3 linked regions of the Elephas maximus indicus genome follow. The protein of the gene in region 1 binds, or shares a complex with, the protein of each later gene. Links are inferred from orthologs where the notes say so. Each region holds a gene or a part of one and is shown on either strand. Other genes may lie near its edges.

Region 1 (8,088 bases):
AGCCATCATGGTCTGCCTCTTTATGTGATTTGATATTGACTGTTTCCTCCAAGCCTTCAGTAAGTTATCATATTCATTTATTTTATGTTTGCTTACTGTGTCCTAGCTTCTTGTTTTGTTTTGTTTTGATATCCCAAATAGGTTGATCATGTGAGCTACTTTTTGGCACCTTTGAAGTGCTCATGCCCTGTCTCCAGATGGTTAAAGCTGTTGCTAGTTATATGAGCCCAGGAGTCCATTTACTTTACTTGTGTGGATTCAGCTCAGGTGTCCAGGTCATTGGTCACCAAATGTGTGGTGCAGGCTCTCACCTACAATCCTAGATGGGAAGGGGTGACTGGAGTAGGCATAGGTACCTGGATGCCGTAGGGGGTCATGAGCTGATCAAGGCAGGGGGTAACTTCTGCCCCTGAGTGTCTGAACAGAAGGTGTGTCCCTCTTCCTAGAGTGCGTAGATAGGTGGGTTTTGCAGCTGGACTATGGGCACCCAATGCTGTTTTCTGTAAAGACTGGGAGTCACCACTTATTCCTAGACCTCTACTGCAGGTGGCTTGGTGGACTGGGTAGAGTCACCAGTCCTCAGGCCCCTGATGTGTGTAGGTGAGGATGCTGCCTAATGGGCAGGGCTGTGTCAAATGTCACAAATCTGCTACTCTCCCTTATAGCAGATACAGATGAAGATAGGCTTCAGTTATATACCCTGTTATACTGTGCTATTTATGGCCAGTGCTGTTGAAACGGACCTATAGAGGTCTATGCAGGGGTGAAAGGTATTCAAAGTCCCTGGACCCCTTATACCTGTGCCTAGACAAAGGGGCTGTACCTGCCCTGAGTTCCCAGCTTAAGGGAGCTGGCAGATTATTTTTCCTGTTTTTTAATTTGTTCCTTTTCCAAAGCCAGGAGAATGGCTCAGGGTTGCGACAGGTCCTACTTCTGGTCCAGAGGGTGCAGCAGTCACTGAAGCCAGACGGAGACCCAGAACAGAGTAGGGAGGGGGCAGGTAAATGGGAAAGAGGCATTTCCCAAAAGGGGTTTTTTTTTTTTGATCTGTGTGATAGGTTAGATGGTTGTACTTTTCTTTCACCACTTGAGCACCATTTCTTGCTGGTTCTGGAAGCTTGAGCAGACTCTCCACCACTTGGTCTCTCCTGATGTGGAAAACACATCTCAAATGCCACTGCTTGCCTCACCACTCATCAGCCAACCCAGCCTGCAGGGTGCCAGTGCCAACCAGGTCAGGTCTGGCAACTCCTTGCTGCTTCTGAACCATCTCTCACTCCCCCTGACGCTCAGTCTGATTCCTCATCTTTGCTTTTGATGTTCATCTTAGATCATCACATATAATTGTTTTTTCGAGTCTTTATATTAAGAGGGACCATATGAAGCATCTGCCTACTCTACCATCTTGGCCTCACCTCTCTTCTCATACTTTATTTTTGTATTTCAGTCATGGGTATTTATTGAAGGCTGTTTCCACGCTAGAAATGAAGCCAGATGTGGTTGACAAGACTAGGGAGACATGGAGGGGGTGAGGGGCCACAGTGAAAGGAGATAACAATTCTGAATAGGAGAATGAGAGCGAGGCTGACATGTGTGAGGTCATCTCCTGTGAGGAGTGACAAGACTGGCGTGGGGTGGGGGGAACTGTGAGGCAGATCTTGGTGTCTGAGAGGGACGACATAACATACATGGAGGTCAGACGCTGTGGGTAAGGAGGGCAGAGGGTGAAAGAGCCGAGGCTGGGGGTGCAGAAGTGAAAGGCCAGAAGCAGGGCAATGCCTCCCTGCACCTCATCCCTCTGCTACCACCTCCACCACCTCCTTGGGATTGTGAGGGTGGGAGGTGGACCAGCCTCTCCTTGAAAGAGCTTCCTCAGGAGCCAGGATTCAGTTGAGGTCCTCTCTGCACGTTTACACAGACTCTTAAACTTTTCCAAACAAGATGAGGTAAGGCAAAGAACGTGGATTTTGGAGTTGGAGTTGGGTAGAAGACTCCCTCACTTACCAGCTATTTAACATTTGAAAGTCTCAGTTTTCTCACCTGTAAAATGGGAATAACAGTGTTTCTTCTCAGAGGTGTGTCTGCCACACAGGAAGTTCTTTCCCAAAGGTGGCTGTTAATTTTTGGTATGTTGAGGCTCCAACTTGTAAACGGGAGTAAAGAGATTCCAAAGCTATGCAAAACTGGCATTCACAATGGCCGCAGGTTGCCAGGCCATCTCTTGGGCCTGCTTCCCCAGGACAGGGGGTGTGAATCAAGGCTGCAGCTCTGTCAGTCACCTCAGCAGCTGGTGATCCCTCAGAACCATAGGAAAGCCCCCTGGAGAGGCGTTGGGCACAGAACAAGCATTTTCTGAGTCCTCACTCTGTGCCAGGCACCTTCATATAGCATCTCAGTCCTTACAGCTGACCCACAAAATCCAAGTCTTTCCCATTTCAGGACAGAGTGAGTTTCGGTTCCGGCTGAGGCTAAGTCAGCCTGAGGACTTCTCCAGCTCACACAGCTCCTGTGTGGTAGACCTGCATATTCCCATCATGCCGTGCCACCTTCCCCCGGGCCCCTATGCAGGGCAGGAAGGCCGTGGAACCTGAACATCCACGGGGAGCCAGGCTGGAGTTCCCTAGAGAACACCCTCAGATTCCATGGCTCTGCAACTCGGTCACCTAAACATCCCAGCACAGCCTCCTCCTTCCCTTTGCCCCCAGGGGAGTGTGAACAAGACTAGCAAAGGGGTACCCATCTTTTGGGGTTAGAAAGAAAAGTATCACCACAGACCTTAAAATGGAATCTATGCTCAACAAATGGGTGGGCTATTATTGTTATTAAATGTATAAATACCTGTGCACTAAATAAAACTTGGAATGAAAAAATTCTTCGTATGCCTCTCCTCTGTCCAACAGAATAGAGTGGCAAAAGGAGTCTTTGTCACAGTTCATGCTCCTCCTATGCTCCCACTCTCAGTCTGCTCATTCCCAACATGCTGGCCCCTAATAACCGCTTGCCCTAGATCCCGCTGTGCCTTTGCTAAAGCTGGGCCATCCTAAGAGGACACCATGCCCTTTTCCCACTGTGAATGCTTATCCATCAAAGCCGTCATAAAAGTAACAGCCTCTCCAAGGGCTTCATTCTGTCTGTTATGGAACGAATAGTCAGTTACTAAGTCCTTTCTGGGGGCCAGGCCTATGCTAAATGCAGGGAACTTAGTGATGAAGAAAACAGACACGTCTCTCCCTCATACCAATCTCAACCTTAAGTGCAACATAGGAAAAGACAGCAGTGTTTCAAGTTAGAATAGCGGGTGGAGGCCTTCCAGGGGCTCTGAGCCAGAGGAGCATGAGGGTTCTGACATTCTGCTTTCTCTCCGCATACAGGCTGTGAGGAGCTGCTGCTGACTCAGAATGGCGGTTTTCAGGCTGGTAAGAATTGCATTGATTTGATCTAGAGCTTTGCTAGGAAAAATCAAAACCCCACTTCTCTGATACCAGATATTTTGATCAATCCAAATCAATTTACTATCAGTTCTGCCCCATCTGTTCCACTTCTGCTCTGATACCAGCTACACATGTAGCACTTCTTCCTCTGACCCTAACCGCCTGGAACTAGATCAGATCTCACAAGTCAATAGGGCACAGTCCTCCAGACTGCCAAGCCTGCCTAACACTTCAGATGCCAGGTGCAAGCTTGGACTCCCTATGACATCATCACTTCTGATCCCATGCTGGCTACAAATTTGGGGTTTTCTTACTACCCCCTCAGGATGCCAGCCTTAGGCTCAGGGATCCCCAGGGCTCCGCCTCACTTCTGACCTTCGACTCCTACTACTTCTTTGTGTTGGGTAATTCACTAGAACGACTCACAGAACTCACAGAACATGCTATACTTTGGTCACAACTTTATTATGGTGAAAAGGATACAAATGCTGAGTTGTATAGGGTGAGGTCTGAGAGGGTTCCCCATGTAGAGCTTCCATGTTCCAAAAGGGGTTACGCTACCCTCCCATGTGCACAAGTGTCTATCACCAACCAGGAAGGCCCTGGAGCTTCAGTGTCCAGAGCTTTTATTGGTGGTCTCGTTAAATAATTCAAACTCCAGCCCTTCTCCCTGAGTTCAGTCAATATCACAATATATCCTTCTGGCACAGTCGGCCCCCACCCAACATGAGTCATGAACCCTTAGGTGTGGTCTGGAGCCTTCATCAAAGACACTTCAATTATTGGGAAAAGTCTAAGGTTTTAGAGGTTATCTCTCAAGAACCAAGGACAAAGACAAAATTCTTTGCGTAAAATTAACCCCACAGGGTGATCTAGGGAAAGTGCCCAAGGCTGAGTTAAATCACTTCCAAGGAAAGAAGGGGAGAGGCAATGAGGTCCGCATAAGGAAAATGCCAGGGACAAGGATATTGGAGGAATAAAACAGATTATATAATCTAAAGAAAATGAGTGTGGCCAGCCCATGGACCTTGGCAGCAACCCTCCACTTACATTCTGGGCTTAAAACATCTTAACAGAGATCCTCCTTCCTTGTCCCATTGGGGCAGTTGCAAGGAGCTCGCACAGAGAAAACAGATGAGGCCAATGCGGGCGAGCGGGGAGCTCAGGCAGAGGCAAGCCGCCACCTCTGGCCTCTGCACATCTTCCCTTTGCTCAGCAAATGTTTATTTAGGTGCCTGGTGTGTCTCAGCGGCAAGGAGCGAGCCACTCTGCGGAAGGAAGCAGAGGAGCTTCACATTTACAGCTTAGTCAACAGGCTTCCCTGTGCCTCTCCTGGGGCCTGGCCCTGCGCTGAGGCAAATGAGATGAGTCAGTGGCCCTGCCTTGGGGTCAGGGACGGGCCTCCAGAGCAGCATCACTAGTGTTGGTGTCACCAGTGTGGTAACTCAGGGTATCACCAACTCCCCCCGCCCCCGCAGAGCTGCAGCGCCGAGGCCCCGCCCATCCGAGCCCCACGCCCGGGTTCCAGCAGCTCCTCCCCTCTCCCATTGGCCAAGGTGGAGACCCTCTCTCTCCACCCAATGGTGGACGCTATGGCCTGGCCACGTGCACCCCGACTAGCAGGTTGTCGGGGCGAGGGGAGTGGTGAGGAGTTACTGCAGTGGGTGACGGGTGACACTAACCTAGTGACGCCACTGCCTTGGTGGCCCCTCCCCAGCGCCTGCTGGTCCGCCACCACTGCTGCGGCCGCCGCTGCCGCTGACCCTGGGGTCATTTTGCTGTCACCCCCTCTGACAGTGTCAGGGGGTGCAGCCCACAACCCCTCCCCCCCCCCGACTACCTTAGTGACGCCACTGCCTCCAGACAACCCAGAGTGTAGGGGAGACCCTCCAACCAGCCTGGCGCCCTCCCTGCCCTCCAGTATTCCACCCTCCTCCCATGCCCGACAAGACCCAGGAAAGCCAGACCATGTAGCAAGTCCTCTTTAAAGATAAAATGTCCAAATGTTCTCCACAAAGCAGCCATCCTCTTCTCCTGGCTGCGGGGTGGTGAAGGTGGTTTTTTGCAATTGCAGAAAAGAAGACTATTCTAGGCTGGAGGGGACACATGTGGTCTAAAAATTTAGGTTACAAGGGCTGTTCCTTACTAAGTCCAAAACAGGAGAGCTTGGAACCACTTTGGAGCCTGAGGAGGCTTGAAGGCAAAGCCAGTCTTATTTCACGAGGGAATAGCCCCATGGGATGCATTACCCAGAAAGGTCTCCTTGGGAACCGGACTAACTGGAAGCAGAGTTTAGAAAGATCCATCTTGGGAGAAATTACTCACAAATGCAGTTGTGGGCCTGCTCTATCTTTTCAGAGTCCCAGTGCCTTGAGAGCAGGGTAATTGTCCGTGTCCATCAGAGGGCCCCGTGGCTGTTGACTAAAGGGCAGATCCATGTTGAGCCTATTACTGCTTTACTGCTACACCTCTGCCTTACTCTGTGCTGGGCACTATGGGGGCCCCTTAACTCTACATCTTCAAAACAGCCTGTGAAGGTGCCCTGTTCAACAGGGGTAAAACTGAGGCCACATACCTCTCCAGGCCTCTTCCATTATCTGGACCTTTTTATCATCTGTCCAACGGCCCATCTGAGATAAACGTCTCAGGGCATCAGCAACAGTTCCCTTTCTGACCTGGGTCATCCCTGCCCCAACTGATTCTTGCCTGGGGCTAGAGGGAGAACAGCCACAGCTTCTGAGGTACAAAGATCACAGGTGAGTCAGCCACCTGCTCCCCAGTCAACTGACACCTCCTCCTCCCATCTTTCTCCAACCTCTCTTGCCTTCAAGAGTTCCTCCCTCTTACTGTCTACCACATCTTGGAGCCGGACTGACCTGGGTTCAAATACCAACACTACCACTTACATCTTTGTAGTAAAAAAGGAATAAAAATACTATTGTTGTGAGCATCACATGGGGTCATTGGAAGCCACACTTGATCCCAACTGTTTTTTAATTTTAATTGTTTTATTGTGGTAACAATATATATAACAAAACATTTGCCAATTCAACATTTTTTTTACTTGTGCAAGTCAGTGACACTGGTTACATTCATCATATATTACAATTACCACTACTATCCATTTCCAAAATTTTCCATTAACCTTAACAGAAGCTCAATGCCCCTGAACAATGACATCTCCTTTCCCCCTCCCTCCCAACTGTGGTAAATACTAACAAACTTTGATCTCTATACATTTGCCTGTTTCATAGAAGTGAGATCATACAGTATTTGTCCTTTTGTGACTGACTTATTTCATTCAGTACAGTTTTTTCAAGATTCATTTCTCTTTATGGCAGAGTTAATATGCCATTATATGCACGGCCACAATTTGTTTATCCATTTATCTGTTGATGGACATTTAGGCTGTTTCCATCTTTTGGCTGTTGTGCATAGTGCTTCAATGAACGTTTGTGTACAAATACCTGTTTGCGTCCTGCTTTCAGTTCTTTCAGGTACATACCTAGGAGTGGAATTGCTGGGTCATATGTTAATTCTGTGTTTAACCTTTTGAGGAACTGCCAAACTTTTCCACAGCGACTGTGCCATTTTACAGTTCCACCAGCAATGGACGAGGGTTCCAATTGCCCCACATCCTTGCCAGCATGTTATCTTCCCTTTTTTCCTATCATAGCCATTCTAGTGGGGGGTGAAGTGGTATCTCCTTGTGGTTTTGACTTGCATCTCCCTAACACTAATGAGGAAACCTTGGTGGCATAGTGGTTAAATGCTACGGCTGCTAACTAAAAGGTCGGCAGTTCGAATCCACCAGGTGCTCTTTGGGAACCCTGTGAGGCAGTTGTACTGTGTCCTATAGGGTTGCTATGAGTAGGAATTGGCTCGAAGGCAACATGTTTTTGGGATGACTAATGATGTTGAGCACCTTTTCATGTGCTTGCTGGACATTTGCAATTCCTCTTTGGTGAAATGTCTATTCATGATCCCAAGTTTTGATAATAGCTCTAGGATTGCTACATGTTCTGAGTATGTATAAGGTGGTAAGGGTGGTCCAGGCGAAGGAAACAGCAACATGCAAAGGCCCATAGCTGAGCCAGATTGTAGTCCTTTGGGGCAATGGATTTGGGTTTTTTTTTAGTTTCCATGTACCCTAAACTTCTCATTTTTGCTTTAGAGTAATTGTTGACCTTTTGGTCTCATAGAGAGATTTTTTTTAATGGAGCATCATACTCATGGGTAATATCCTTTATTTTGTGTGCCAATCTCTTATTTTGCTAAAAGGTGATCTCAGGGAATAGTTTTGGTTCAAAGTTTAAAAAGTATTTCAGGGTGATAGTCTCAGGGATTTCTCTAGTCTCCACTGGTCCAGTAAGTCTGAACTTTTTATGAATTTGAGTTCTGCTCTGCATTTTCCTTCAGCTCTGTCAGGATCCCTCTGTTGTGGCCCTGATCAGAACGGTCAGTAGTGGTAGCCAATCACCATCTGGTTCTTCTGGTCTAAAGGTTCCTTTACTTTTTTTCTTAATTTCATTTTTTGTTGTTGAGAACGCACGCAGCAAAACACACACCAATTCAACCATTTCTACACGTACAATTCAGTGACCTTGGTTACATTCCTAGAGTTGTGCAACCATTCTCATCCTGCCTTTTCTGAGTT
Region 2 (7,641 bases), on another chromosome or scaffold:
TATTTGCCTATTTTAGGTAATTCATATACGTGAGATCATACAATATTTGTCCTTTTGTGACTGACTTACTTCACTCAGTATAATGATCTCAAGTCAACTTCATTTCTCTCTATGGCTGAGTAATATTCCATAGTATGGATATGCCACATTTTATTTACCCATTCATCCACTGATGAACACTTGACTGTTTTTACTTTTTGGGTGTTGTGAATAGTTCTGCAATGAACATTGGTGTATAAGTACATGGGCTTGTAATTTTGAGAGATGTTGCCCACTTGCCCTACCCAAGGTTGTACCGATTTGCATCTCCCTAGCACTGCATGCCCATCTCCCTGTGGCCTCAGCCACGCAATGCATTATCTAACACCTTCATTTTGTCAGTTTCATAAGTGAAAACTGGACTGCAAATTAGTCATAATTCACATTTCTCTTATTATGAGTGACATTGAGCAGATTTATATTTTTTCTTTTGTTTCTAAATTTTATTTATTTTGTTGTTGTCACTGAGAATATACACAGCAAAATATACACCAATTCAACAGTTTCTACATGTACAATTTAGTAACATTGATTATATTCCTCAAGTTGTACCGCCATTCTCACACAGTAGCTTTATATTTTCAAAGAGCCAATTGTGTTTCCTAGTTCATCATCTGTCTGTTCATATCCTTACTCACTTTTCCATTTGGTTGTTGACATTTTCTTTATTGAATGAGAAAGATGTTCCCTTACAGGGGGGAACATTCACCCCTGTGTTATGGATTGAATTGTGTCCCCCCAAAATTTGTGTCACTTGGCTAGGCCATGATTTCCAGTACTGAGTGGTTGTCCATCATTTGTGATCTGATGTGATTATCCTATGAAATCCTAACCTCTACGATGTTATTGGGACCCTGGTGGTGCAGTGGTTAAGTGTTTGGCTGCTAACCAAAATGCCAGCAGTTTGAATCCCCCAGCCACTCCTTGGAAACCCTATAGGGCGGTTCTACTCTGTCTTATAGGGTTGCTATGAGTCAGAATCAACTTGACCCCAACGAGTTTTATGATGTTAATGAGGCAGGATTAGAGCTAGTTATGTTAATGAGGTAGGACTCAATCTACTGGATTAGGTTGTATCTTGAGTCAATCTCTTTTGAGATATAAAAGAGACAATCCAGCAGAGAGGAGAGGTACCATTACCATCAAGCAAGATGAACCAGGAGCTGAGCAGGGTCCCTGCCCTCAGAAGCTTCTAGACCAGGAGAAGATTGATGAGAAGGACCTTCCCCCAGAGCCGACAGTGAGAGAAAGCCTTCCCCTGCAGCTGGCACCCTGAATTTGAACTTCTAACCTCCTAAACTGTGAGAGAATAAATTTCTCTTTGTTAAAGCCACTCACTTGTGGTATTTCTGTTACAGCAGCACTAGATAACTGAAACATGCTGATTATGGAGGAAGAAACAGCCCAGAGAAGGCAGGGAGTTGCCCAGACCCACAAAGCCAGAGTGGCTGAGTCACAGCTGATCCCAGCCAGGTCAGACTTCCTGTCCAGGACACTCGCTGTTCCTTGCCCTTTCTGATTCCATGACTTAAGGCACCAGGTTGTAGAAGAGGCGGACTTACCTGTTCCAGCTCTGTTCTTGATTTTGAGGCCCCAGAGTGGGGGAAGGGTTCCACTCTCAGAAAATGAAGGTGCTGGTTCCCTAAGAGTGGAATGGAATGCTGGGAGATCTTCCTTCAAAATCTGTAAGATCAAGTCCAGTCCCTCAGCCTGACACCAAGGCCTTCCCATCCTCCTCTCAGTCTAGTGGCCATGCACCATGGGGCCTCTGGCCACATCTGCTGCATTTCCCTGAATAAGGTATGAGCTGTTAGACCTCTGTACCTTCACACATGCTGGCCCCTCCACCTGGAAGGCCTTTCCTTTCAGGTCTACTGGGAAAACTCCTACTTTTCCTTCAGGACCCCACCTAACTGTGTCCACCAATGAGATGCCCTCCTTGGCTCCCCAAATGGAGGAGACATTCCCACAGCTCTACTCTCACACAAATCACAGTGCCCAGAGCCTAGAAGGTGAATAATAATTGTTGAAATGAAATGAAACAAGAGTCGATCAGCTCTAGGAAGACAGATACTCATAGCCCACCAGAATGCAGTTCCTCAAAATGCATTCAGTGCCACACACGTGGCCCAATGGGAAGAAAGCCTCTTGAAAGTCAAATAAATTAGAAACATCAGATTCTAAACAGACCTCTTCCCTCCAGAACTTGTCAGTACCTTTAATGGGCCATTACACATTGTTGTTTTAGGAGAATTCTCAGCCAAAGACCTTGCTAGGCCCTGATTTCCTTGATTCAGAAAGGTTCAAACCCTAAGAGAATGATATCTCCAGGCACAATGGTGTTTCAAACTAAGTTCCTTTTATATTTTACTTAAGTGAATATTAAGTAGTAGTGATTGAATTTCGCTCCACTGCTTATCTGTCCTTCGCTGGTGAGGCAATTCTTTTCTCTAAATTGCTTCAAATATCTGAGCAGTAAAAACACCCCCAGCCCCATAGGAGGGGTTGCCAGTCAAAGTCTGGGGCAAGATCTCCCCCAGAGACAAGAAAGGAAGGAGACCTAACTGTTCATACCTGGGATGAGTGCCAGTGGTGACATGCAATGTCTCGTTTTGAGCACAGAAAGACAGGGGTTGGCAAACTGTGGTCTTCAGGCCAAATGTGGCCCACCGCCTGCTTTTGTGTACCCCATGAGCTAAGAAGGGCTTTTACATTTTTAAATTGTGGAAAAAAAATTAAAAGAAGGATAATATTTTGTAAAACATGAAAATTATATGAAATTCAAATTTTTGTGTCCATAAATATAGTTTTATTGGAGCACAGCCCTGTCCATTCATTTCCGTATTGTCTATGGGTGCTTTCGGCCTACGATGGCAGAGTTGAGTAGTTGCTAAAGCGACTGTGTGGTCCACAAGCCTAAACTACTATTTGTCCCTTTACAGAAAAAGTTTGTTGATCCTTGTCTTAATAGAATTATTATAGAGTTGTTTTTGTTAGTTGCTGTCAAGTCAGCTCCAACTCATGGTTAACTTATGCGCAATAGAACGAAACTGGCGGTCTTGCCCCATCTTCATTATTGTTGGTATGTTTGAGTCCATTTTTGCAGCTGTTGCATCAATCCATCTCATTGATGGCTTCCTTTGTTTTTGGCGACCCTCTACTTTACCAACCTTGACGTCCTTTTCTAGCAGTTGGTCTTTCCTGATGACATGTCCAAAGTAAGCTAGTTGAAGTCTTGCCATCCTTGTTTCTAAGGAACATTCTAATTGTGTTACTTCTAAGACCAATTTGTTGGTTCTTCTGGAAGTCTGCAGTATATTCAGTATCCTTTGCCAACACCACAGTTTGAACACATCAGTTCTGTCTTCCTTTTTCATCATCCAACTTTCGCATGCATGAGGTGATTGAAAAGACCATGGCTTTGGTCAGACGCACCTTACCCATCAAAGTGGCGTGTTTGCTTTTTAAAACTTTAAGGAAGTCTTTTGCAGCAGATTTGCCCAATGCAATAGGTTGTTTGGATTCTTGACTCTGCTTCCACAGAGTAGCAAGCATGAAAAACACTGTCTTAACAGAGGGCATGAAACAAAACATTTGAAGAACCCATGCTGCTCTCCCCTTTTCTTCGTTGTAGCTTATTATCAATTGTCTTTGGGGATGAAAAAGCCTTGGGGTTTCAGACCACTTGGTGACAATGAATCAGAGACCCTTTTTCTTGGATGAAGGACAGCTTGCAACATGAAAGGCCAAAAAGCCAGGGCCAGATAGAGTTTTCCAAGAGTCCCTGCCCAGCTCTGAATTACCAAGAAGGGCACAGAGTATACAGTACTAACCAATCTGACTGGATCTGGGAACCCTTTTGCCTTGGGGCATCTTACAGGGCGAGGGTTCCATGGAGAACACTTTAGGAAAGGTTGCAATGGCAGCTATTAAATGTGTCAGTAAGTAGGTCAAAGGACCCTGGCTCAGCCATGGAGTCCCTGGATGATCCTGGTCAAGCCATGGTCCCTTTCCTCTCCCCTGTTTTCGAAGGATGCTATCAGTGTGGACATTTCAAACAGGGGGGATAATGTAGTGGTTGAGGGAATGCATTTTGGAATCCAAAAGACCTGTGTTCAAAGTGAGATCTTGTCACTGGTTCTCAGTGTGGCCTCCAGCAAGCCTCCTAATCTCTCAGCCTCGGTTTCCACATGTGTAGAATGGGACAATGATAATAACCACCTCATAGTTGCAGGAATAATGAAATAATGCATCTAACCTGCTTGGAACAGTGCTTGTCATGCAGTGGGTGCCAAATGCTGGAGTCAAGTTCAGGTTCATCCTGAGGCTGGGGCTCTGGATTGGGCTCAGCTGTCTGCCCACACCTCTGTTTCTCCCACCCATGGAACATCTGAAAAATGGACAGAGGGTGATATGCCTGCATGACCCAAGGAGGGGCTCTGTGGGAATTGCTGGGTGGTGGGCAGGTCTGGGGGGCAGGTCCAGACAGACGAGGACCTGGCAAAGGAGGGAGGCCCAGATCCAGGCACCCCTCCCTGAAACTGCCTCTTCTAGGTCCCTCCAGACGTGATGGCGTGGCCATGGCTGTCCTGCGTCCTGCTTCCTGCCCTGGTGGTGTCTGGTGGGTGCCTCCCCTCCCCAACCAGAGTAGTGCTAAGCTGGGGACCCTTGGCATAATCCTTCTGAAGGGATGGGGCAATCGCTCCCTGATCAATAAATACTGAGCTCCTATGGCCGAACTGTATGCTTGGCTGCACTAGGAAGCCTGGGGAGGGATCTAAGGTCTAGGTGGGTGAACTGGGGTAGATGGTTGGCACTGGAGTGGGCTTTGGAGAGGTGGGGGGAGGTCAGATGTTGCAGGGGGTCCAGATGTTCCAGTGCCCTGTCTTCCTGTAGTGGCAGCCAACACGGCCCCAACTTTCCTGCCAAATATGACAGCAGTGACCCTGCCGGAGGACCTGCCAGTGGGTGAGTAATTTTTTTTTATGCCCAAGCCCATACCTGAAAGAGGGTCCCAGGGGCTGTCAGGGGGCAGCTCTACCCCAGCACATCTTGTCGGGGGGCAAAACCAGTAAACCCGTTGTCGAGTTGATTCCAATTCATGGCAACCCCACATGTGTCAAAGTAGAAGTGTATTCTATAGGGTTTTCAATGGCTGACTGTTTGGAAAGAGTACCAGGCCTTTCTTCCAAGGCACTTCTGGGTGGACTCAAACCTCCAGTCAAGTATGTTAACCATTTTCGCCAACCAGATTCTCCATCAAGGGACACAGGGGGCCTGAAGTGAGTTTATTCAATACCAGAAGTTTGTTTTCTCCTCATCTCTTACATCCACAAGTATAGGGGTTAGGATTTATAACACATATTTTTGGGTGACACAATTGAATTCACAACATTCCACCCTTTCGCCCCCTCCAAATTCATGTTCTTCCCACATACAAAACACATTCACCCTATCACACCATCCCGAATGTCTTAAATCAAGTCTTCTGAATCATCTAAGTCAAGTATGGGTGAGATTTTGCTGAATGTATTCCATCCTGGGGCAAAATTCCTCTCCATGAGTGAACATGTGAAACCTACAACACAAGTTATCTGCTTCTAAAGTACACTGGTGGAACAAACACAGGGTAGACATTTCCTTTACAAATGGGAGCAATTGGAGGGAGAGAAGGGCATATGGGCACTATCTTAATTATCTAACCCATCTTAATTATCTAGTGCTGCTATAACAGAAATGCCACAAGTGGATGGCTTTAACAAACAGAGACTTATTCTCTCACAGTCTAGGAGGCTAGAAGTCCAAATTCAGGGTGCCAGCTCCAGGGAAGTCTCTCTTTCTCTATCGGCTCTGGGGGAAGGTCCTTGTCATCAATCTTTCCCTAGGATCTTCTCAGCGCAGGGACCCTGGGTCCAAAGAATGCCCTCCCCTCCTGGTTCTTCATTCTTGGTGGCATGAAGTCCCCCTGTCTCTGCTCGCTCTTCTGTCTTCTTTACCTCAAAAGAGATTGACTCAAGACACAACCTAATCTTGTAAATTGAGTCCTGCCTCATTAACATCATAGAGGTAAGATTTACAACACATAGGAAAATCACATCAGATATCAAAATAGTGGACAATCACAAAATACTGGGAATCATGGGCCAAGATGACACACACATTTGGGGGGGACACAATTCAATCCACAACAGGCACCAAACACGTCCAAAACCCAGTAAAGCAAATTACGTTAGCCCTCAAGGCTTGAAAATAATCCTCTGTTCTCCAGGACTATCTGGGCAATGGAACTACCCTCCAAATCTTTAAGTTTGTTTCATTTTGCACAGTTCATTTTTTTAAATCCATCCCTGCAAAATGAATTGAAGGTGTTGGCCTCAATCTCCAGATTATGAGTGGAGGCCCCATGTCCCCAGGAGTCAGCCCACCCTCCAGGTCCACTGGGACAGCAACTCTGCTTCCTCAGCTTTAGGTGGTCCCATTCTCCTAGTCCATTTACCTATTCATGTCATTTCATAAAAGTGAGAACATACAATATGGTTTTTTGTAACTGACTTATTTCGCTCAAAATAATGTCCTCTGGGTTCATCCACATTGTAAGATGTTTGTGGAACTCATCTTTCTTTATTGCTGAATTATGTTCCATTGTATGTATATATCACATTTTACTTATTCCTCTGTTGATGGGCACTTAGGTTGTTTCCATCTTTTTGCTATTGTGAATAATGCTGCAATCAACATAGGTGTGCATATGTCTGTTCGTGTCACTTCTATTTGATCCCTAGGGTATACATGTAGGAGTGGAATTGCTATAGGGTCCTATGAGTCGGAATCAACTCGACATCAGTGGGTTTGGGTTTGGTTTGGAATTGCTAGGTCATATGGCAGCTCTACCTCTAGTTTTTTGAGGAACTGCCAGAGTGTTTTCCACAATGACTGTACCATTTTGCATTCCCACTGGGAAAGAATGAGGATTCCAATTTCTCCACATCCCCTCCAACACTCGTTATTTTCTGTTTTTGTTTTGTTTTTTATCTTAGTCATCTCAGTGGGAGTGAAATGGTATCTCACTGTGGTTCTGATTTGCATTTCTCTGAGGGCCAATGACATTGAGCATCTTTTCATGTATCTGTTGGCCATTCGAATACCATCCTTGGTGAAGCCTGTTCATGTCCTTTGCCCAGTTTTTGTTTGGGTTGTTTTTTTGTTAAGTTGTAGAAGTTTTCTGTATATTTTAGATATTAGACTTTTATCAGTTATGTTGTTCCCAAAGATTTTCCCCAATCTGTAGTCTGACTTTTTACTCTCTTGATAAAATCGTTTGATAAACATTATTTAACTTTTATGAGGTCCCAGTTATCTATTTTGTTCTCTACTACTTGTGTATTTGTTGTTATGTTTGATAATCTATTGCTGAAAAAATTACATCCCAAAGCTTTGTTCCTATATTTTCTTCCAAGAACTTTATGGTTTTAGATTTAACATTTAAGTCCTTGATCCATTTTGAATCGTTTTTTGTGTATGGCATGAGGTATGGATCTTGTTTCATTTTTCTGCACTGAAGAAATCCAGTTTTGCTCAGCATTTCCTTTCATAGCCTCACCT
Region 3 (6,924 bases), on another chromosome or scaffold:
AGTTGGGCTAGGCCATTGGTCTCTGAGTTTGTTGTGTTCCCTTTCTACCACCCTCTCCCACCCCGCCCCAGGCTGCCCCACCCTCCCACCTCGTGCACATTTCTAGTCTTATTTCCTAGAACCTCCTTGGGGCAAAGTTCCTAAGGTGACCCATGAGGTCCTGTCCCTGCGAGGTCCAGACCCTGGTTCTGTGCTCTGGCCATCCTTCCCTTTGCACCAGCCCTCCGGTCAGAAGGAAAAGGCTCTTTTGCATGTCCCTGGCACACCCTTGTCTGTTCCTAAACACAAGTCAGCTTCCTCCAGGTGGGGCTGGGCAGGGCCCAAGAGATGGAGATAGAGGTGTTTATGGGGCAGCTCAGTGGAGACTCCTCCCACAGGCCTGGATTAAATTGGGTCCTCCAAGAATCTGTACTGTAAATCCTAGGCTCTGTGCCTGTGGTTGTAACTGTGTTTGGGAGAGGGTTGTCTTTGTTATGTTAATGAGGCAGGATTAGTTTAGGGTGTATTTTGAGTCAATCTCTTGAGATATAAAAGAGATTAAACAAGCAAGCGAGTGAAGCAGAGATGGAGGAAGAGAGATGCCAAGCCACATGAAGATTGCCCAGGAGCAGAAGCTCAGAGAGCCAAGGACCTTCCTCCAGAGTTGACAGAGAGAGAGAGCCTTCCCCTAGAGCCAGCACCTTGAATTCAGACTTCTAGCACCTTGAATTCAGACTTCTAGCATCCTAAACTGTGAGAAAGAAACCCTGGTGGCGTAGTGGTTAACTGCTAAGGCATCAAAAGGTCAGCAGTTCGAATCCACCAGGTGCTCCTTGGAAACTCTATGGGGGCAGTTCTACTCTGTCCTATAAGGTCTCTATGAGTCAGCATTGACTTAACCGCAATGGTAATGGGGAAACTATGAGAAAATAAATTTCTGTTTGCTAAAACCACCCCCATGTTGTATTTCTGTGATAGCAGCATGAGATAACTGAGACAGTGGGGTCATGGTGAGGCCCTGGCCCCAGCCCCCCTGCCCTACCACTGTGGGGGCTCACTGTCCCCGGCCCCTCCTGTCCCACATGTATCTTTCCTTGGCCTCCCAAGCCCTCTTCCCACCCCCCAGTCCAGGAACACTTGGCAGAGGCACCTGGGTAGGGTCTGGAGGGGGAGGGGCTGTTGTAATGGGGGGTGGAGCCCCCCCACTCCTGCCCTTACACCTCTTCTGTCCAAGGCAGAAACACCCTCTCCTAGCCCACACCTCTCTGCCATTTCCTGGCCCTCCATCTGCTGCTCACGCCCACGCTATTATCTGGGGGTGCATCCAAGTCCCTACTTCGTAGGTGTAGTGTGGCCCAGCCTCTGGCCCAAGACCATGCAGCCTGGCCAATGAGAGCCCTCTCACTCTGGAGCCAGGCTCTGGTCCTCCTGGGTAACACTCCCTGCTGTCCTGAGCCTCCTTACCCCCTTCCGGACCCCCGACCTCTTGCTGCAAACACACTGACCACTTAGTTCCTGGGGAGGAATGTTAGCTGAGTGGATGGACATGGGTCCGGGCAGGACACCACCCCACCAGCTGGACTGATGGACAGGAGGTGGCACCGATGCCAAGATAAAGAAATACTAAGGAGAGGCACTGAAAGGCCAGCTCGGTCCCAAGTTTAAAGGGCAGCCTGGCATGCCAGGCATGGCCACAGTCCTTGAAGTGGTGGACCTGGGGGCATCCTTCCACCTGACAGCTGCCCCCTCCTCTCCTGCAGGGGGCTGCCTCAATGGACTGAGACGGTGCATACAGTGGGCTCATGGGGCCAGGGTCTGAATTTCTCCTTTATTAGTGCCAAGTATGTCCCCGCCCCCCCACCCCTCCCTCAGGCTCTGGCTCCAGGTCCAGGTCAGTGGAAAGACGCCTTCCTCCTCCAGCTTCATCTAGGCTGCCAGGACCCTTCAGCTCCCAGGGTGTCTGGCTCCCAAATCCTGACTCCAGACCCGGGCGGGGAAGGCAGCCCAGCTTGAGCCCTTGCTGGATCGCCCGGCATCCTGCAGAAAGGAGCCAAGTGAGCAGGGGTCTGGACACCCCCTACTGGGTGAAACTAGGGCTCCTCTGGTCGGTGTCATGCCACCCCCACTGCCAACTCCAGCTCCTGCATCTGGGGGCCGCTGGGGAGGCGGGGGGGGGGGGGGTCAGGCAGGTGCTGGGGCGCGCTGTGCTCACCAGGCCTGCAGGGCGCCTGGGTCGGACCACAGCAGGCAGAGTCGGCCCTCCAAGGTCTGGACCTGGGCGGTGCTGTTCTCTGTGTCCTGCTCACTGACCCCGCCCCCCAATCAGAATTAGTCCTGGAGTTGGGGGGATCAGACACTGCTGAAGTGGGGCAGGGGTGAGGGGGGCGTGCCCCACATGGGGTACCCGCCGCCTCCCCGGCTCAGGGGTGCCCCCGCCTGCCTCCTCCTCGTCTCTGGGATGCTGCCGCCAGCCCCCCTCCTCGGACCTGGGGCCTCCGCCAGACCACTTCCCCGGTTCTGGGATGGCCTCCTGGTCTCCCTCACCCGCTGTACAGTGCCCCTGCCGGCCCTCCACGCTCACCTGCGCTTTCCCACCAGGTCCTGGAGCAGCCGCTGCAGCCGCGCGCTGTCCCGCAGGCGGCTCAGCTCGCTTGTGAACGTCCCATCCGAGTGTCTCAGAGCCCTTGGGGGGTCGCAGGGCCGGGTCAGGACGCCAGGGGCTCCCCAGGGGCCGTGCAACTCCGGGCAGGGAGGAGGCTGTGGGGCGGCGCGGGCTCGGGCGGCGGGCTTGTCTGGGGGGCGCGGGCTCACCTGGGGGGCGCGGGCTCACCTGGGTGGCGCGGGGCGCGCGGCGGAGGCCCGGAGCAGCGGCAGCAGCAGGAGCAGCAGCAGCGCGGCGGGCGGCGGGGAGGCCATGGCGGGCTCGGGGCTGTGCTGAGCGCTCACGTCGGCGTCCGGAGTCCTGCGCCACCCCTTTATAGCCCCCAGGGCCGGGCTTGGGGTGGGGGGGCCCGGAGGGGCTTCCGCCCCGGCTCCGAGCTGCCGGGGCCTCATTGATCGTTCCGGAAGGTCAGGGCCACCCCCCAGCTGTCGACTGGCGACCGCCTGTCCTCCCCGCCAAGTTGGCGCTCCTAGGCGGGCTGGCGGCGGGGGGCGTCCATGGGGGCGCAGACAGGAGGGCTGCGGGGGCCGGGGGCGCCTCCACTGGCGGGTTCAGGAGGGTCTGGGAGGGAGGAGGGTGTCCGGCTGCGAGTTCGCCCCGGGTGGGCCAGGCTATGGGAACAGCAAGTGCAAAGCCTCTGCGCTGCGACCCTGTGCACTAAGGCTGCAGGAGCAGAGCCCAGCGTGGGGGCCCCGAAGGGGGCAGCTGGGCCAGCGGAGGCGCTGGGGGCCTGGAGGTGGGCCCCGGGGAGGAATGGTGAACAACTGAAGGTGCCCAGGAGCATCTGGGGTCAGGGCTGGGACGGAGAGGGCGAAGCGACAGGATCCCGCGGGTGGCCCCCGGGAGGCCCCGGCAGGAGGATGGGCGCGGCGGCCAGGGGAGGAAGGAGTTGGTGCAGGCGGGGACTTCGTGATCTGGCTGCCAGGCGCTGTGCAGGGGCTGGGATGTGAGCACTGGGAGGGCGAGGGGCCGGGTGACAGGTGGGATGCGGAGAATTACACCGCTTCACGGGGCTTTACATTTCATTTGTGCAGGTGGGAGGGACACGCACCTATGGAAGGCCGGGCCTGGGGATGGAGATACCACAGATGAGGGAGGAAAGGCTGGGGGTGGGGGAGACTGCGGTGTCACTCATGCTTTAGTCGATGCAGTATTCACTCCAGTTCAACCCCTAACAGCTTGTTCCCATGAAGCACTTCAACATAATTTACAAATCTAGGAAAATCAAGCATAAAACTAGCGGCTCTTGTGTTAAACTTTACAGGCTTTCTTAAGCAGCTTCTGCCGCTTGTTCTGTCCCAAAACTGGCTGATTAGAACCCTCAACACTGTAATTAACTACAGAGGGAATAATTACCTTCACCTTTATGTAAGTATTGGAAATGTCTAACGAACTCCAATTTTATCTACTTCCACAGCACCTCAAATCTTAAGTAACCAGGCAGTCCTTGATAAGAAACATTTTATGCAAACATCCATTAATAATCAGAATGTGGAATGCACAAAGTATGAATCTAGGAAAAACAGAAGCTGTCAAATTTGAAACGGAATGCATAAAGATTGATATCAAAGGCATTAGTGGGCTGAAATGGACTAGTATTGCCCATTTTGAATCAGACAACCACATGGCCTACCATGCCAAGGATGACAAATTGAAGGCGAACAGCATCACATTCATCGTCAAAAAGAACATTTCAAGATCTATCCTGAAGTACAACGCTGTCAGTGATAGGATAATGTCAACAGGCCTACGAGGAAGACCTGTTAATATTAATATGATTATTATTCAAATTTACGCACCAACCACTAAGGCCAAAGATGAAGAAACTGAAGATTTGTACTAACTTTTGCAGTCTGAAAGTCATCAAACATGCAATCAAAGTGCATTGATAATTACTGACGATTGGAATGGGAAAGCTGGAAACAAAGAAGGATTGACAGTTGGAAAATATGGCCTTGGTGATAGAAATGATGCCGGAGAGCCCATGATAGAATTTTGCAAGACCAATGACTTTTTCATTTCAAGTACCTTTTTTCAACAACATAAATGGCAACTATACATACCAACCTCACCAGGTGGAAAACACAGGAATCAAATCAACTACATCTGTGGAAAGAGAAGATGGAAAAGCTCAATATCATCAGTCAGAACAAGGCCAGGGGCCGACTGCGGAAAAACACACCATCAATTGCTCATATGCAAGTTCAAGTTGAAGCTAAAGAAGATTAAAACAAGTCCACGAGAGCCAAAACATGGCCTTGAGCATATCCCGCCTGAATTAAGAGACCACCTCAAGAATAGATTTCAAGCACTGAACACTAATGACCAAAGACCAGATGAGTTGTTGTAAGACATCAAGGACGTCATACATGAAGAAAGCAAAAGTTCGTTAAAAAGACAGAAAAGAAATAAAAGACCAAAATGGATGTCAGAAGAGACTCTGAAACTTGCTCTTGAACATAGAGTAGCTAATGGGAATGAAGAAATGATGAAGTAAAAGAGCTGAACGGAAGATTTCAAAGAGCTACTTGAGAAGAGGAAGTAAAATATTATAAGGAAATGTTCAAAGACCTGGAGTTAGAAAACCAAAAGGGAAGAACACACTTGGCATTTCTCAAACTGAAAGAACCGAAGAAAAAAATTCAAGCCTCAAGTTGCAATTTGGAAAGATTCTATGGGCAAAATATTCAGGGATTCAGGAAGCATCAAAAGAAGATGAAAGGAACGCAGAGTCACAGTACCAAAAAGAATTGGTTGACGTTCAACCATTTCAGGAGATAGCATATGATCAAGAACCAATAGTGTTGAAGGAAGAAGTTCAAGCTGCGTTGAAGGCATTGTCAAAAAACAAGGCTCCAGGAATTGATAGAATACCAACTGAGATGTTTCAAAAAAGGGATGCAATGCTGGAGGTGCTCATTCATCTATGTCAAGAAATTTGGAAGTCAGCTCTCTGGCCAACCAACTGGAAGAGGTCCGTATTTGTGCCCTTTCCAAAGAAAGGTGATCCAACAGAATGTGGAAATTATCTAACAATAGCATTAACATGACACGCAAGTAAAATTTTGCTTAAGATCATGCAAAAGCAGTTGCAGCAGTACATCAACAGGGAACTGCCAGAAACTCAAGCCAGATTCAAAACAGGACATGGAACAAGGGATATCAACTGCTGATGTCAAATGGATCTTGGCTGAAAGCAGAGAATACTGGAAAGATGTTCACCTGTGTTTTATTGACTATGCACAGAAATTTGGCTGTGTGGATCACAAGAAATTACAGATAACATTGCAAAGAATGGAGATTTCGGAACACTTAATTGTGCTCATGAGGAACCTGTACTTAGACCAAGAGGCAGTGGTTTGAACAGAACAAAAGGATACTGTGTGGTTTAAAGTCAGGAAAGGTGTGCGTCAGGGTTCTATCCTTTCACCATACTTATTCAATCTGTGTGCTGGGCAAATAATCCAAGAAGCTGAGCTATATGAGCAAGAATGTGGCATCAGAATTAGGGGAAGACTCATTAAAAACTTGTGATATGCAGATGACACAGGCTTGCTTGCTGAAAGCAAAGAGGACTTGAAGCACTTACTGAAGAAGATCAAAGACTATAGCCTTCAATATGGATTACACCTTAACATGAAGAAAACAAAAATCCTCACAACTGGACCAATAAGCAACATCATGATAAACGGAGAAAATATTGAAGTTGTCAAGGATTTCATTTTACTTGGATCCACCAACAACATCCATGGAAGCAGCAGTCAAGAAATCAAATGACGTATTACATTGGGCAAATCTGCTGCAAAAGACCTCTTTAAAGTGTTGGAAAGCAAACATGTCACTTGAAGGACTAAGGTATATCTCATATGCATGTGAAAGCTGGACAATGAATAGAGAAGACCAAAGAAGAATTAATGCCTCTGAATTATGATGTTGTCAAAGAATGTTGAATCTACCATGGACTTCCAGAAGAAGGAATAAGTCTGTCTTGGAAGAAATACAGCCAGAGTGCTCCTTTGAAGTGAGGATACCCAGACTTTGTCTGATGTACTTTTGACATGTTATCAGGAGGCACAAGTCCCTGGAGAAGGACTTCATGCTTGGTAAATAGAAGGTCAGTGAAAAAGAAGAAGACCCACAAGGAGATGGACTGATACAGTGGCTGTAACAATGTGGTCAAGCACAACAATTATGAGGATGGTGCAGGACTGTAAGTGTTTTGTTCTGTGGTAGACAGGGTGCTTATGAGTTGGAATTGACTCAAGGGTACCTAACAACAACAA

The links. Proteins that work in one complex are often made in the same cells at the same time.
Region 2: MYO7B (region 1) and CDHR2 share a complex: the UniProt entries of both Homo sapiens proteins name them as parts of the IMAC/intermicrovillar adhesion complex. The link is inferred for Elephas maximus indicus from reciprocal best matches to the Homo sapiens genes MYO7B and CDHR2.
Region 3: MYO7B (region 1) and CDHR5 share a complex: the UniProt entries of both Homo sapiens proteins name them as parts of the IMAC/intermicrovillar adhesion complex. The link is inferred for Elephas maximus indicus from reciprocal best matches to the Homo sapiens genes MYO7B and CDHR5.

The regions. Positions count from the first base shown.
Region 1 is NC_064824.1:15,096,057-15,104,144, forward strand, and holds the start of MYO7B (unconventional myosin-VIIb), read left to right. Parts: upstream 1-5,023; coding exon 5,024-5,401; intron 5,402-8,088. UniProt on the Homo sapiens protein: Myosins are actin-based motor molecules with ATPase activity. Their highly divergent tails are presumed to bind to membranous compartments, which would be moved relative to actin filaments.
Region 2 is NC_064820.1:196,536,810-196,544,450, forward strand, and holds the start of CDHR2 (cadherin-related family member 2), read left to right. Parts: upstream 1-4,608; coding exon 4,609-4,660; intron 4,661-4,935; coding exon 4,936-5,007; intron 5,008-7,641. UniProt on the Homo sapiens protein: Intermicrovillar adhesion molecule that forms, via its extracellular domain, calcium-dependent heterophilic complexes with CDHR5 on adjacent microvilli. Thereby, controls the packing of microvilli at the apical membrane of epithelial cells.
Region 3 is NC_064825.1:137,425,041-137,431,964, reverse strand, and holds the start of CDHR5 (cadherin-related family member 5), read right to left. Parts: upstream 3,034-6,924; coding exon 2,810-3,033; intron 2,663-2,809; coding exon 2,561-2,662; intron 2,466-2,560; coding exon 2,384-2,465; intron 2,137-2,383; coding exon 2,061-2,136; intron 2,017-2,060; coding exon 1,841-2,016; intron 1-1,840. UniProt on the Homo sapiens protein: Intermicrovillar adhesion molecule that forms, via its extracellular domain, calcium-dependent heterophilic complexes with CDHR2 on adjacent microvilli. Thereby, controls the packing of microvilli at the apical membrane of epithelial cells.